Lytechinus pictus: one gene and its partner. The main gene of each other region encodes a partner of the protein of the gene in region 2 in a complex. Links are inferred from orthologs where the notes say so. Each region holds a gene or a part of one and is shown on either strand. Other genes may lie near its edges.

Region 1 (7,985 bases), on a different chromosome or scaffold from region 2:
GAAACCAAATCGATCAACTTTCTTTGCCACCCTCCCCCATTTTAAAATCATGGGTCTATCATAATAAACAATGCTATCACTGTGGTATTATTTCGTTATACTTACCAACAGTTTCAAGGAATTTTTCAGTATTTGTCATCAGCGTCAGAAACTCTTCAAAGTCAATTTCCCCACTTCCTGCAAATAAACAATCAACATAATTTATAAGCATTAATTGGCAATTAACCTTGATAATTGACTAAAACTGTTGGTTTTAGATGGTAATTTGTTTCCAGCTCATAGGCCTAATATTGTGATTTTTTATTTTTTATTTCAAGCATAATTAAATGAATGTTTATCGTGACAATAATCTTCATTTTTCATTATGTTCATGTTTTTGCAAAAAGATAAATAAATAGATAAATGCAATTGGATTGGCTATGAATATTCACAGAATGGCATAAGTCTTTATTGTCTGGCACTGACGTTCTTTCTAAAATGTAAATAAATCTTACCGTCTTTGTCGATCCCTTCCAGAACATCTCGGATATCTTGTGCGGGTAGATGGATATCCACAGAGCTCAAAGCTAGCTGAAGCTCATCTGCATCAATGGTTCCTCCACCATTGCTGTCGAAGAGATCGAACACCTCTTGGAAAGCTGAAGAAAAAAATGAATTAAATCCCATCAAGACGATTGTGAAAAATCATCATTGGTTAATTTTCACTAAAAACCTCCAAACATCTCAATTTAAACATTACCTATAATCTAATCAAATATAATCCCATCTAATCCAATCCAATTATAATATTCTCAACAGACACAGCAGCTCAATGACCATCCCCTCCTGGCTGTGACGATTTCATAGTTGAAATTAGGCAAAAATTGTTAAAATAATTATATTTTATGAAAGAATAAATCCATGAAAGCGATAGAACTTTCATTATAAGTTTTGATTATATTATTACACATTTTTAAAGATTCCAATGTGAGAATGTCATTCCAATTAATATGATTACATTATAAAAGATTTGCCAAATCTCTTTGAAGATATGCTCCCTTTTCAAACAATACCTTCAACCTGCTCTTTGGTGAGTGCAGGTTCGGGTTCAGCTGATTTCTTCTTGCGTCGCTGATGAGGAGAGTATGACATGTCATCCATTCGACTACCGCGCCGGTTATATGCACCATCTCCAGGGTGGCTGCTCCCTCGCCTGCCGGAAGCTGGACCCCTTCCGTAGTCAACAGTACTCTGGCGTCGACCTCCCGAGCCAGTCTCCGGTAGCACGCTACCTCTTCGGAGGTACCCGTCGCCCATGGTGCTGCCTCGCCTTCCACCAGTTGCTACGCTTCCACGACGACTTTGCTGAGGAAAAAGAATATCATGATATAAATCTATTTTCCTATTAATTCATGATATCTATCTGGTTAAAATTAAGATCCAGGATTGACCAGAGAGGCGGGGGGGGGGGGGGGGGGCAGGTCCATAACTTTTTCTTCATTTTCACAAAATAATAATAATAAAAAACATCACTAGGCAATAATTGCCTCCTCTTGGCGCCAGGGTCAGGGAAAGAGCCCCCTCCTCCAAACTTCGAAGGCCTACACACTAGCTTGTATTATCTATTAAAAAAAAAACACCAAATATTCCATTAGTCCTTGAGCGGGGGGGGGGGGGGCATCTGGATCAGCCTCTGTCTCCAGATAGTATATTATGTAATACTCTCAGGGAAGTAAAAACACAATTTTTTTGATATAAGGAAAAACCCATCTATTATTCATTCATCTATTTATTATTCTATCATCATCGTCATCATGATCATCATCTTCTTCTTCTTCACAATCACATTGCCATCAATATTCATTTGGAGAAGCTGTAGACCAAAAGTAATATTAACAGGGTGATATCTGGTGCCTGGCTGGCTTAAAAAAAATGGACACCATGAAATTATTTTTGTTCATTTTACATACCCCACTTGACGGTATGGTACTCTTGCTTCTTCTTTCCTGATCTTCAGATTTAGTTCGAAATCTATCGGAGCTACTCGCTTTTGGTATAGCCCCAATACTCTCCCTGCTGTTCTTGGTACTGTAATTGTTATTCTTCAACGACTCCATGTCACTGCGGTGGACATATATCGCCCCTCTTCTACTTACATCCGACATGATTTTTGTTTATTTTACCTAATTATGAACAAAACAAATATTTACAAAAATTTGGTCTACTGTTACTGAATAGTGCTTTTTTTGCTATTTCCAGAAAGCCGAAACCAGCCGTACGTTTTAGTTGCTCGTCATTTTACATCGAGTCGACTTTTCTGTTCGCTGTCTACGTACCGGTACTCGTGTGCATGTGTCATGTGGATTTGTTTATGTCTGACGTCACCGTGGGAAAGTTTACTCGAGACATCCCGTGACCCGACCTATATTACGTTTTGGTGATGTCATAATGGATAAACCAAAGGATCAACAATAATGACAACCGCGCAAGACGATGGGTTCAGGCTGGGTTCTGGGCGTATTCTGAAAACCGTGTTATCTGCGTGTTATCTCATTTCGTGTTATCTTCGGCTCCTCCCACTCTACATCTATTTAATCCAATCAAATGCGCTGTTAAAGAAACAAATCGCGCAAAATTTTCAGGGAAAAGGGAACGTGCGCACGGTGATACGAAGCCTGCATTGTGACATCATTCTGTAAGCGCATACAGCTACTAGTAAATAAAAGTTAGAGCTAGAAAGAGACGTGGGGAGGGGTACGTGATTGTGACAATTAAGAACTGAATTGAATTTATTTTCATACTTCACAAGATAACAAAATAATAACATAATACAAGAAATTGATTATTTCAGACAGCATGGATACGAAATTATAACAGGAGACAGAGGCCTCGATCGATTGTGGAGCGGGCAGGGGACGATCGCCCTAAGATATGGGGGCAAGCATAATTTATACATGCCCCCAATAATTTTGAGAACTTGAAAAAATAAAAATGCAAATTTTGAAAAGCATGAAAAGCACTTTAAGAAAAATTAAATCTGACATAGAAATATCAAACACAAAATTGTATTTTTTTCTATATTATAATTTGATGCGTAGAGCGATCAGCCATGCAAAAAAAAAACACTTTTGACCGCCCCCTCCCCCCATCCGAAGCATATAGATTGACTGGCGTGATAGATAGATTGAGAATAACCTAGAAGCATTGAGAGTTAAAAAAAATTATTGGAGCTATATAATCATTGAAAAAGGGTTTTTAAAAATGTGAATATTATAGAAGTTTCCCCAATTGCTAATTCCATTCTTTTTAATTTTTGTTTGTGCTTTTCTTTTAGACGTTTGTAATTTTCTTCCTCTTTTTGTCTTTTTTATATCATGGCAAAAAGTAACCAAATAAATAACTCATGATCATATATGATAATGATTTTAATTAGTCCAAATCAAAGATGCATTTAAATTGTATTTTCATAGGAAATTCCAAAGAAATTGTTGTTTAATCATTGTTAGTAGAGACTAAAGGTAAATGGAAAAAAGAAAGAAAATTACAGTAAATCCTGCCAAACGATAGTTATTTGCCCGTTTATGTTCTTCTTGACGTTTGCGTCTGCTAGAAAAAGTGCAGCCATCGTCATCCCCAACTTAACCTCTCCTTAACGCAGTGTTAAATTTTCGTGTTATCTTTGAACAAAATTTTAGCTAACACCATTTTCAGAATACCAAATTTCGTGTTATCTTCCTCCCTAACACCGCGTATGGGGGTTGCGCGTTGCGCACTGCGTATTTCATGACCTGCGCGGTGTTACCACTTGGGCCACGTGTTTTTCATGCTAACACGATTTTCAGAATACCAATCGTGTTAGCTAACACCACACCGTTTTTGTGCTAACACGGTTTTCAGAATACCGCCCCAGTTCACCCCCGCCCGCACCCCACCCCACCCTTCACCTGCGCTGCGCGCTCATAAAACTCACGTGTCGGATGGACACGTGATATAATACAGGCCCCGCCCTTTTCATGATCGTATTACACATTTTGCACGAGACATGGCAGCATGCAGCATGAACAGTCGCATATTGGATGTGTGGGCCTAAAATAAAACAAATTACTAGTATATGACAATTTTTAGTTTATATTTTTTTTTCTTCACAAAACTCTTGGTCAATGCATACGATCCTGTTGGGATCATGTATGCTATGAGAATAACGGAATCGATCGTTCTGTTTTTGTTGTTGTTGTATTTTGTTATAAGCATTGATCAAAATGTTAAAATTTTACAGATTTGATGATTAAAAAAACCCACTCCGAATTATGACTAAACAAGGTCCGTGAGTATTAAAACAAACCATTATTTACATTTTAGAAGGATAATGTAAAAATTCTTTTTCAGGTATTCATGCAAATAATACAAATAATAATAAATATAAAATGAAAATATAGTGAATGTGTGACGAAAGGTTGTGCATTCCCACTTGCATATCGCCATTGATGTGCATTTCATTCTGTTTTCTGCTAATAAGCGAAAACCATGTCGTACTTTCAATTTTACATAAAATTTCAATTAATTTTTGTTTGCATTATTTTTATTTTTCCTTCATTAATTCTTATTGACATTGTTTTATTTCTACCAATGATGGTAACCTGTTGTGTAGGGCAACCGATATTAGATAACTAGGTGAGAGTGAGACTCCCATAGGCGAATTATATAATTTTAGGGTAAAATCTAGTGAGATACTGAGATTGATAGAAATGCATGCAAAATTTAGAGTGAGACTGAAAAGGGACCAAAATGAGTGAGAGTCACTCTCTGAGTGAGAGTTTGCAGCCCTGTGTTTTCATATCATTTATATCATTGAATGTTATTCATTGTAAATGCATGAAATGATTATTTGGGTGTATTTTGTGTTGGAAGTTAAATTGAAACTGAATTTGAATAATAGATAAATTATACCGGTAGGCCTATTCGTAGGTTTGGGTGGCAGTGCAGTAGAAAAAAAAATCCGCACTATTCTCGTGTCGTCCACAAGAGGGCAGCACTGAAAAATTCCTTTCGAAATGGCTGCCGCTGTCTTGGTAAGTTTCCAATAAATTAAAAATGCTTGTATCGAAAATTACTGAATAACTTAGCAAGAATTTGACAAATAACCAATTCGGTATACTTTCAGCTGTAAGCGGGTAAATATTTATTTGCATTTGGTGTTATATTTGTAGATAAAAAGGGCTTCTACAACTTGAGTGACTGAGTGAGTGTGACGGTTGAATTGACGGTTTGTTGAAATTGGGCACCGTCCTTGGAGCTGGTCGCGTCGGGAGTGGCTGGCGCGACCTGGCCGCTGTGGAGACGGCTACTCCGGCTAACTCCAGTGACAGTCCACGCTCCGCGACTCCAGCTCCGAGACCACGATCGGCATTGACCACGTGGTTCATTGATGTAGGCCTACAGTGCAACCGTTACCTGCCACCTCGTCTCATTTTACTTTTGATACATTATTTGGAGTAGATCTACCACCTACATGATGTATTGACCTAATGTAAATGCCTTTTTTGTTTGGACTTTGCCTTGGCTGCCTTTAAAAGGCTTTATTCCTGGAAATTGAGGGTCTAGCTTAAAAAAGTATAGACCGTCGATACGATACTCGATAGTGTCTTTTTTACTAGTGAGTCTATACTTAGTAAAATTTACTCATGTAGGCCTAGGTCTGAACTAGTTGTAACACTAGTACTATCCTACTACTACTACTAGTAACAGGTAACTAACAGTAACATACCTAGTCTATTCTAGATTTTTAGAGTAACGTTAGATCTAAGTCTATTGAAAATGTTTGAGAAATCAAATATTTTGTCTGTTTTTACTTTAATTTTATATTTTTAATTTAGAGTGAAGTTCAGATTTCATGTTTATTTTTAGAGCAGCGGCCAATTCACATCATGAACATTGCCAGGGAGATGTGCCAGCGGGGGCTTAAATTGATGTTAATACCACCTTCTTTCTACGTATAATAAATTTAAAGGCACGGCCATAGCGCTCTCTCGAGAATGTGCACAAAATTTGTATAGGCTCGTTGGTTCGCTTGTCAATGCGTTGATGCCAATATCGTGGCATACGGCTAATGTTAACCCTTTGCGTGCGACGGGCTTCCACAGAAGCCCAGCGAGTCATTCACTTAGCTACGACGGGCTTCTACAGAAGCCGAGAAATGTTTGGTTTAATTCAATTAAGTTTTTCAGCTTTTTCGTAATTGTTATGTACTAAAACCTCTGCCACTATTTCCTTCATAAACCTATTTCGATAACAGATTGAAAAAAATATACAGCTACGTGGGGAAAAATCCCGAAAATAGGAAATCATTTCAACTTTACCCGATTTTTTCGTTGGAGTCGGACGGGGAGGATAAATTTTGTGACGAGCACGTACGCGCGCGCATAAGGCCTGATCACGTGATTTGTTCTGATCACATGATTTGATCCATATCGTTGTTCTGGTAGAGCATCTTGGTTTTCCACGTATTGGCAATAATAATAATAAGACATCAGAAATGCGAAACAAATTCACGAGTAATGCAGTTTTTACAGTGCCAACATTAAGTTCTTTTATTCTGATAGATATACGCTAACATCTTTTCTGCAAGATCGTCACGTAATAAGCTACGCGTTTCTTCACCATTTTCGTCTTATTTGTTTCATCAAGAAGATATCACTCTAGATAGAATGATATCTCCTTGGTTTCATCGATCGATTGCATTTTCAGAAAAGCAAAAAGCTTGTAATGTCTTAGTACTTTGAGCTGATCTCGGTGCACTTTTGAACTTTTTCCCTCCCAATCATCCCTCTTCTTCTCATTATTTTTGTCTACTATTCTGAAAAAAGGAGAAAAGAAGGCAGCTTAGCACACCATTCATCTTCTGCTCTTTTCAAAAGGGGAACGTCCATGTAGTTCATGATATCGGCACTACCCGAACAAAAGAATGTCTGGGCGGCCACTCAAACAAATTCCTTTCGAAAAGAGCAGGATACAAATGGTCAACGCCCCGAACAAAAGGAAGATTAGTGTTTATCGGCAGGATGACCCATTGAACGCTTTTCGTACTTAGCAATACAAAAAGCTTTTATGAATCATTTTTTTCGACCAACATACCGTATCTAAAAAAAAAATGTCTCATTACCGACAACACAGGTGCTTATGACATCCGTCAGTAATTCTTATTGCAAAAAGGCGCTTCCCCTGGGTGATGATGCATATAAGGATGAACGAATAATTATTTAGGGAAATTATCGAAAAAATATGTTCAAATGTCAGGGAGGACGAGAGAGAATGAGAGACAGAGATAAAAGGGGGAACAGACAAGTGCGCTTTTGCTAAAATTCTATGAATATCTACTTAAACGAATTACAACATGACTTTATTTTTTGGTTAGATTACTTTTAAAAAATCCCACAATGTTTGTTTCTTGCAACTCGGTCATCAGACCCTTCCCAAACTTATGACTTTTTATTATTGTTCTTGTTTGACCCCCCTCCCCTGATGGAAATGTTCTGACCTACACTCTAATATTGCTTGTTTGTCTCCTGTCTCCGATTTTCTGTTTTTAATTGCGAGTAACGCGGTAGAAAAGATAAGAATAAAGACCGTCCTGGACCCCTTTCCCCCCCCGTTACGACCAAAAAAAAAAAATCGCATTTGGGGCGCTTACCATGGTTAGCATCTAAACCATTTTGGTTTAGATGGTTTGGAAAAAGAAGGGACAGCAATGTTTTTTATGGTGCAGGTGTTGAGCTGTGGGACGGGGATGAAGCGGCTAAAAAATACAATTTGTTAATTCATGTCATTTTACAGAATGAATTTATAATAGGTTAGGTTTTAGAAGCTCTTCATCTTATTTCCTTTTCTCACCCAGATTAAAACTTTTGCATTAAAAAGTTGACGGAAACATAATTACTTCAAATGATAAAACCAATAATGAACTAAAAGTTTCCTCGCGCGAAATGGAGGAAATAGAATGATACAGGATG
Region 2 (6,951 bases):
CATACAGCATGAATATGATCATCTTCAGGGAACTTTATACATTGATCGCATGGACACCCGGACATTTGCTGATCTACAATGGCCTAAATGGAATGAGAAGTGAATTCAGAAATGATCAGTCAGTCAACCTCTGAAGTAGTATATGAGCTTTTGCGCTCGATCTGCCAGTCGATTGTCGGGTATCTGCTTTTGAAAGAAACCCCCAGCCTGCCGAAACTTACATACCTGTTCAGTACAAGAGTCCTTCACCGAATGTGATTCAAAGAATTGACCCGTAGCTGTTGGAGACTGAGCACACATATATATGCATGCTTGAGATTTATAAAAATTTCAAAGATTTCATTTCAGTCAGTCTCTTATTGGTTAAATTGATTGTGTATTTTGAATTGATACAAACTTCCTTTCTTGCATTGACATTAATTACCCAATTACATCACTTTATTTCCAATTTGTCGAATGCCACTTCTTCCAATTGCCAACTCGTCTACTACCATTTGGTCTACCATTTCGTCCACTGACCACATGGTGTACTTTCATTTAGTCCAATGCCATTCCGTCGAATAACGAGTTGGTCCAATAGCCATTTTGTCCATATACCATTTGGTCTTTATTAAACTAAAATGTTAATTGTGCAAAGTGAATGAAAAGAAAATGGGTATTAGACCAACTGGTTATTAGACGAAATGGTAATAGACGAACTGGTGATTAGACTAAGTGATGATTGGACCAAATGGTTATTGGACCAAATGGTTGTTAGACGAAATGTTGATGGACGGAATGGCATTAGACTAAATGAAGGCAGACCATGTGGTAAGTGGATGAGTTGGCAGTGGACGAATTGGCAATTTACCATTACATCTAACTGTTGGTTGCAGTGTACCGGTACATATTCTTGCTTCATTTGCCATCCTCCTTTCGATGGGCTATTTGGCTATTTTTATAATCATGTCCAATAACTTATTGAATTCCTCATTTGAACTTTGCATATTCTGCATTTGTGGTGGAAATACACATAGTTCATGAGTCATATGAATTGATATGGAAAAAAGAAGCTCCTTCGCCTGTTCAGAAGATTTTCTACTATCTACATTTAACTGTGGTAGTTTTAGAATAAAGTGACCTAGTTATTTTATTTTTCTTACAGAAAATATGTTTAGTGTGAGATATTCTCTATACTGAATAAAAACATTTCTGAATGTATTATCATGAATTGTGAACTATGAAAGAGTGCAAATAATGTTTTATGCAAATTATCTCTGAAACTCAAGTACTAATGGATTTTTCTTGCCCCAAATTTTCCCCTTAAGTATAAACCAATCATAATCATGAATATGGAGGATTTTATTCTGTAACAATGAAGTGTAATTTCATCTAAAGATAAATAAATCATCAACAAAATTGACATTCTTTGGTTCAATTGATCTTAATTTTTAAAAATGCCTTGGCAAGTTACATGTGTAGTATGCACGGGCAGAGCAACATGTTGTTGTTCTGCTAAACTTTGTATATCTTGTAATGCTTCTTTCAAGTACGTCTTTAATACGCACTGCCGTAGTAAGTTATTTGACTTGTTGCATAACCCTCTGAATAATTGCACATGTACACAATCCTTTTTAAACCATCCAATTCATCCCTTTAAAGGGGTACTCCGGGCTGAAAATATATCGAAATAAATAGAGTAAAATTCACAGAGCAAAATGTTGAAAAATTCATCAAAATCGGATAACAAATAACAAAGTTATTGAATTTTAAAGTTTAGCAATATTTTGTAAAAAAAAGTTACATACATCATCATGAATATTCATTAGGTGGGCTGATGATGTCACATCCCCACTTTCCTTTTGTTATTACATGAAATCATAATTGTTTCATTTTTCACACATGTGTGAACAATGTGTCTCCTTTATAATGAAATAAGTTGCAGCAATAAATTTCATTAAATCAGTTGTCAATCCAATTTTTTAAGTTCTTGGTAGAAAAAATTTGAAAAACCTAATTTCATATAATAAAATAAAAAAAAAAACAAGTGGGGATAATGACATCATCAATTTGCTCATTGAATATTCATGAAGACATGCCTAGAACTGTTTCACTGGAATAATGCAAATCTTTAAATTGCCATAACTTTGTTATTCATTGTCCGATTTTAACCAAATTTTCAGTGTTTTGTTTGTCTGATTTTTCTTTACCTGTTTGAATCATATAAATTTCAGCCTGGAGCATCCCTTTAAAATGTAAAGTGGTAGTAAGTAAAGGCATGCTCAAGGCTTTTCCATTTGCAATTTTCCACAGGAAAATGTTCCTTATGTTTTTTTTATTGGTTGAAAATTTCAAAGACAATTTTTTTTGGTTTATAGTGGATATGTTGAAAAATATTCATATACAACAATGGTCCTAATTAATGGTCATTACCGTCTTTGTGATTGATTTGCAAACATTGTGGTAATGATGCCCTGATCTACTCCGATCAGACACTTCTCCAATTAACAACAATTGTCCCATTGAAAAAGTCAGACGAGAGGAAATACTTTACATCATTCTGATAGATATAATGACCCTTATTATATAATTTCCATTATCCTCTTTATTTCAGTGTCTTGTGTGATTTATGATAATGACACTGACATTATGTACTGTTGTCCAGTAAAGAAAGGTTGCTTGAAATACATTTCATTTTGCCTCATCAACTTTTGTTCATTTGTTCTGGCATTCCAGTTTTTTCATAATTAATGTAACTTAAAAAAAATATTATGAACAGTGGCGGACTGTGACCCAGAGGAGACAAAGCATTGGAGGGGCACAGTATTGTTCACAAAGAATACAGTGCCCCTCCAATCATTTGTCTCCTTGGGGTCACGGTCCGCCACTGATTATGAAGTAAAATACTAATTTGTTGCCAGATTTTACCACTGAATTTGAAAACATTGTGTGGTGATGATGCCTTCATCAGGCTTTACTCCGATTTGCAACAATTGTCCCATTGAAAAAGTCAGACGAGAGGAAATGCTTCACAAAATTTTGATAATTATAATGACTCTTGTTATATAATTTCCATTATTCTCTTGTTTAAGTGTATTGTGTGATTTATGATAATGACATTATGGCATTATGTACTGTTGTCCAGCAAAGAAAGATTGCTTGATTTTGCCTCATCAACTTTTGTTCATTTGTTCTGGCATACCAGTTTTTTCATAATTAATGTTATATAAAAAAAATATTATGAAATAAAATACTAATTGGTTGCCAAATTTTACCCCTGATTGAATGAAATGTATGAAATTATTCATTATTACGTAAAGCTCAACAATCATAATGTACATTTTTTTAAATAACATTGTTAACCTGTATCATGATATTTATCAAAGACAAGAATAATGATGATTGATGATGACGATAATGGCGGTAAGCTGGTGGTAAGGATGGTGAGGGTGATGATGAATATGATGATGATGATGGTAATGATGGTGTTGGTGATGATGATGATAATGATGATGGTAATTAAGGCTAATGATAATGAAACGTTAATCTATATTATGATATTGATATTGATAAAAGAGAAGAATAGTGATGTTTGATGATGATGATGGTGAGGCTAATTATAATAAAATGATCTAAATTATGATCGGATAAAAGAGAAGAATAGTGATGATGATTATGATGAAAATGAATGATGATGTCGATATCAAGGTGAGGAGAAAAAAAATGAGAAAAGGGGAAAAGAGGGAAGAAAGCACGAAGAAAAGTAACAAAAAGCGTAGCTTAGTAGTAAATTATGTTTTGCCCCCCCCCCCCCCAGCCCCACGATTCCAGCCCCACAATCCAGCCCCACAATCCAGCCCCCACAATCCAGCCCCACGATTCCAGGGCCAGACCGGCCTCGATTCCATAATGGGGTATGTCGGTCCAGTCATGCGGTCTCGCCGCCGCGCCTAGCCGGCCGGATCCTTGGAAACGTGATGCCAAAAATGTCGCCGATTAAAAGATTTGCGATATATTTTCTTCTCATTTTCTGGGTAATGGAGGTCAATTCAACCAATCCATTCCCTTACACGACCGTACAACAATGTATAGCTAATGGAGAATACTACAATATAGCAGAATTAAGATGTGATCCTTGTGGAGACAACCAAGAACCTACCGTTGATGGTAAGACTATTTGTTATACATTTGTGGACAGTCCGACATGTTCAATTAATTGCTGGTGTGATGCCTGATGGTGGTCCCCATTCCCCAAGACTTGGGCCAAGTCTGCGCACCTAATTTGAGTTAAGATTTAAGTTATGAACATGGATTTCTTTTTATTTCACAAAGTCTTTCAGTTAGTAATGTTCCTTATATTATTATGAGTAAGTGTAGGCCCTACCAAATATCTCATAAAAATTAAAGAAATATAGCCAGGAATTTGGATGAGTTGGAAAAACCACTCTAGGCGACACCCCAATACTTACCCGTGCTAATAAACTGGGACTCCACTCACGCGCGTTTGAGCCTCCCTAGCTTAGAACTAAGCACTAATATCACCTTAAAAACTAAATCTACAAGGTATGTATAATCTATTTACAACTTTAATAATGTTTAATCGGTACTCACCGGTTCTTTTGTTGCATTTTCAGACCATTTCTCACAATTCTTCGTAAATATTTGCGGCAAATTTTGTCGCCATAGACAGCTTAGCATCCATCTTTATTGATAAATGGAGCGCCCTTTACGATAGTTGTTAATGCCGCGGAGAAATCGTTAGGCATTTTGGCCTGTGTTCAAGGCGTTCTTTCTGTTTTATTTTTTATATTGAAGATTGTGCATTTGTTGAATAGCGCCGTCTACGTCAGGTATGAGATCGAGTGTATAAATACACTCTTCCAAAATAATTATGATTCCGACCTGGCGCTGTTTAACTTCAATCTCTTTCACCTAAATTAGCGATGAATGCTAGCATTATAAAATATATATTATTAACGTCTGACGAAAAGAATAACCAACCGATCAGCTGACGAGAACGCGAATCACGTGATCTTCATATCAGCTTCGATCGCGAGTCAGAAGAGAAGAGCAGCTGCCCAGAAAATCAGGAAAAAGCCGTGAAAATGTAAGTTCCCCTTCATTTCTTTCATTTTTTGTTGTTGCTAACGATGCATTTACACTATAAAATTATAATTTAAATAAGAGAAAGGAATATAGCTTGTACTTGTGATATAATATATAAATATCCTGTTCTCAGAGATTTCTAACCAAAAATACTACTGATGTCGCCTATGAGGTCCATACATGTAATGTTGGACCTCATTGGTACTAGGAGTGGGAAAAACCTCGGGCAGCTGGCAGTCATTCAGATTGATTATTGAAAAAAAATTGGCAGGGTCTACCCCATGTCTGCACACCCATTCACTTTGCACATGATTCAGGGATTTTTTATGAGAAAGGCTGCATTTTGAGAAATTTGAGGCTGTCCTGAAATTCATTATTTTTCCACCACAAGGGGGACTGCGCAGACAAGTTGGGGGACCTTATGTACGAATTACGATACGTTGTGTGACCCAATACGCTCTTGCGAGGTTAGCTAGATCTATACTAGACAGCTGGCAGCCGTCTGTTTCGAGGAGTTTTTTAACATTTTTGTTATTTTTTAAATTTCTCCTCATACACAGACGGCTCGCTATCGTGCAGCCACCATTAGGGGACTTACAATGCAAAATCCCCCCGTCGGGGCTCTTCAATTTTTGTCTTTAATGAATCAATTTTTTGAAAATTAACGCGACCGAAATGCAAATTAATATTCCCTCTTGGCATTGATTGCCAAAAACGGGGAAAATCAAGTTAAAAGGAACAAAAACAGTGACTTACCTCGGCTGTCGCGCAACTTCACTGCCCTGTTTTATCCGAACTTAATACACATAAACATATGGCCATTGAGTCCCCTGTATAGATCGCGCTAGAACTTCGGTCTCTGTATTTGGTGAGTGAAGCCAACGGAGTTCAGCTGAACAACCAACATAACAGAGACCGAAGCTTTTGGTCTAGATCTATACTAACTAACCTCGCACACCCAAACGCACCGTATGAATAGACAGCATAGTTGTAGCCTACATGTAGAGAGGGAGTTGAAGTAATTTTCATCCAATATTTGGAACTGTCTGATATTTGGGCCATTTAGTCTTTACTCTTTTTTTTTCAAACTAATTTTATCAATTTGTAGACTCATCAATTCATAGTTAAATCTACACAGTAATGGCCAGTTATTTTCTTCTTTTTAAATCTGAACTTAAATACCGATATGTAAGTGCAAAAAGTTTTGATATTCACTGCTTTTTATTTTGTCAGGGTTGCCAATTGAGCTTGCCTTTGCTTTGCCTTTTGATCAACTTTGGCTCATAGGTAGAACAGTGTGTACAGTTATGGTGCTTGTAATGCATTAGAGAATAGAATTCTAGTTTCTTTATCTTCTTTTTTGTCAACTTTTATCGGAGATCAGCATCAAAATGCTATATCATATTGTATCCATCCATCCAAATGAAGATGCCCAGAGGATGCAGAAAGGATACAGCCGACGTTAAATGGATGATAACGGACACGGAACTTTTGCTGCCAGTAAATGTTGCGGATTCGCATTGTACACGACGGAAAGTTCATTTGCTCGAAAAGTTTTGTGTAGCTCAAAATTTTTTGCTTGGATGAAATCTGGGTGGACGGATGCTCAATGGATAGAGCATATGAAACACCTATGCAATGAGTACACAGCGGATGCATAGCGTTTTCCAACGGATTGCAAGATTTTTTTACATCCTCTTTGCATATCTGTAAGTGCAGTGGGACACACTCATTCAATGAACAAGGTTATGATATAACCTTGTTCTCAGTTACATCTCCATGTGTGGCAAAATAAAGTTGGCAATGTTTGGCTTATTTTCTCTTTTCGTTGGGACAAATGCTTGATTTTTTTACACTGTCAGTTTC

The links.
Region 1: meckelin-like (region 2) and transmembrane protein 237-like share a complex: the UniProt entries of both Homo sapiens proteins name them as parts of the tectonic-like complex. The link is inferred for Lytechinus pictus from reciprocal best matches to the Homo sapiens genes TMEM67 and TMEM237.

Annotation. Positions count from the first base shown.
Region 1 is NC_087245.1:17,041,652-17,049,636, reverse strand, and holds the start of transmembrane protein 237-like, read left to right. Parts: upstream 1-4,977; 5' UTR 4,978-5,030; coding exon 5,031-5,048; intron 5,049-7,985. Other genes in the region: uncharacterized protein LOC129264684, read right to left, coding at 106-177, 495-638, 1,053-1,344, 1,950-2,144. UniProt on the Homo sapiens protein: Component of the transition zone in primary cilia. Required for ciliogenesis.
Region 2 is NC_087246.1:22,606,242-22,613,192, reverse strand, and holds the start of meckelin-like, read left to right. Parts: upstream 1-3,946; 5' UTR 3,947-3,956; coding exon 3,957-4,146; intron 4,147-6,951. Other genes in the region: peptide deformylase, mitochondrial-like, read left to right, coding at 1-103. UniProt on the Homo sapiens protein: Required for ciliary structure and function. Part of the tectonic-like complex which is required for tissue-specific ciliogenesis and may regulate ciliary membrane composition.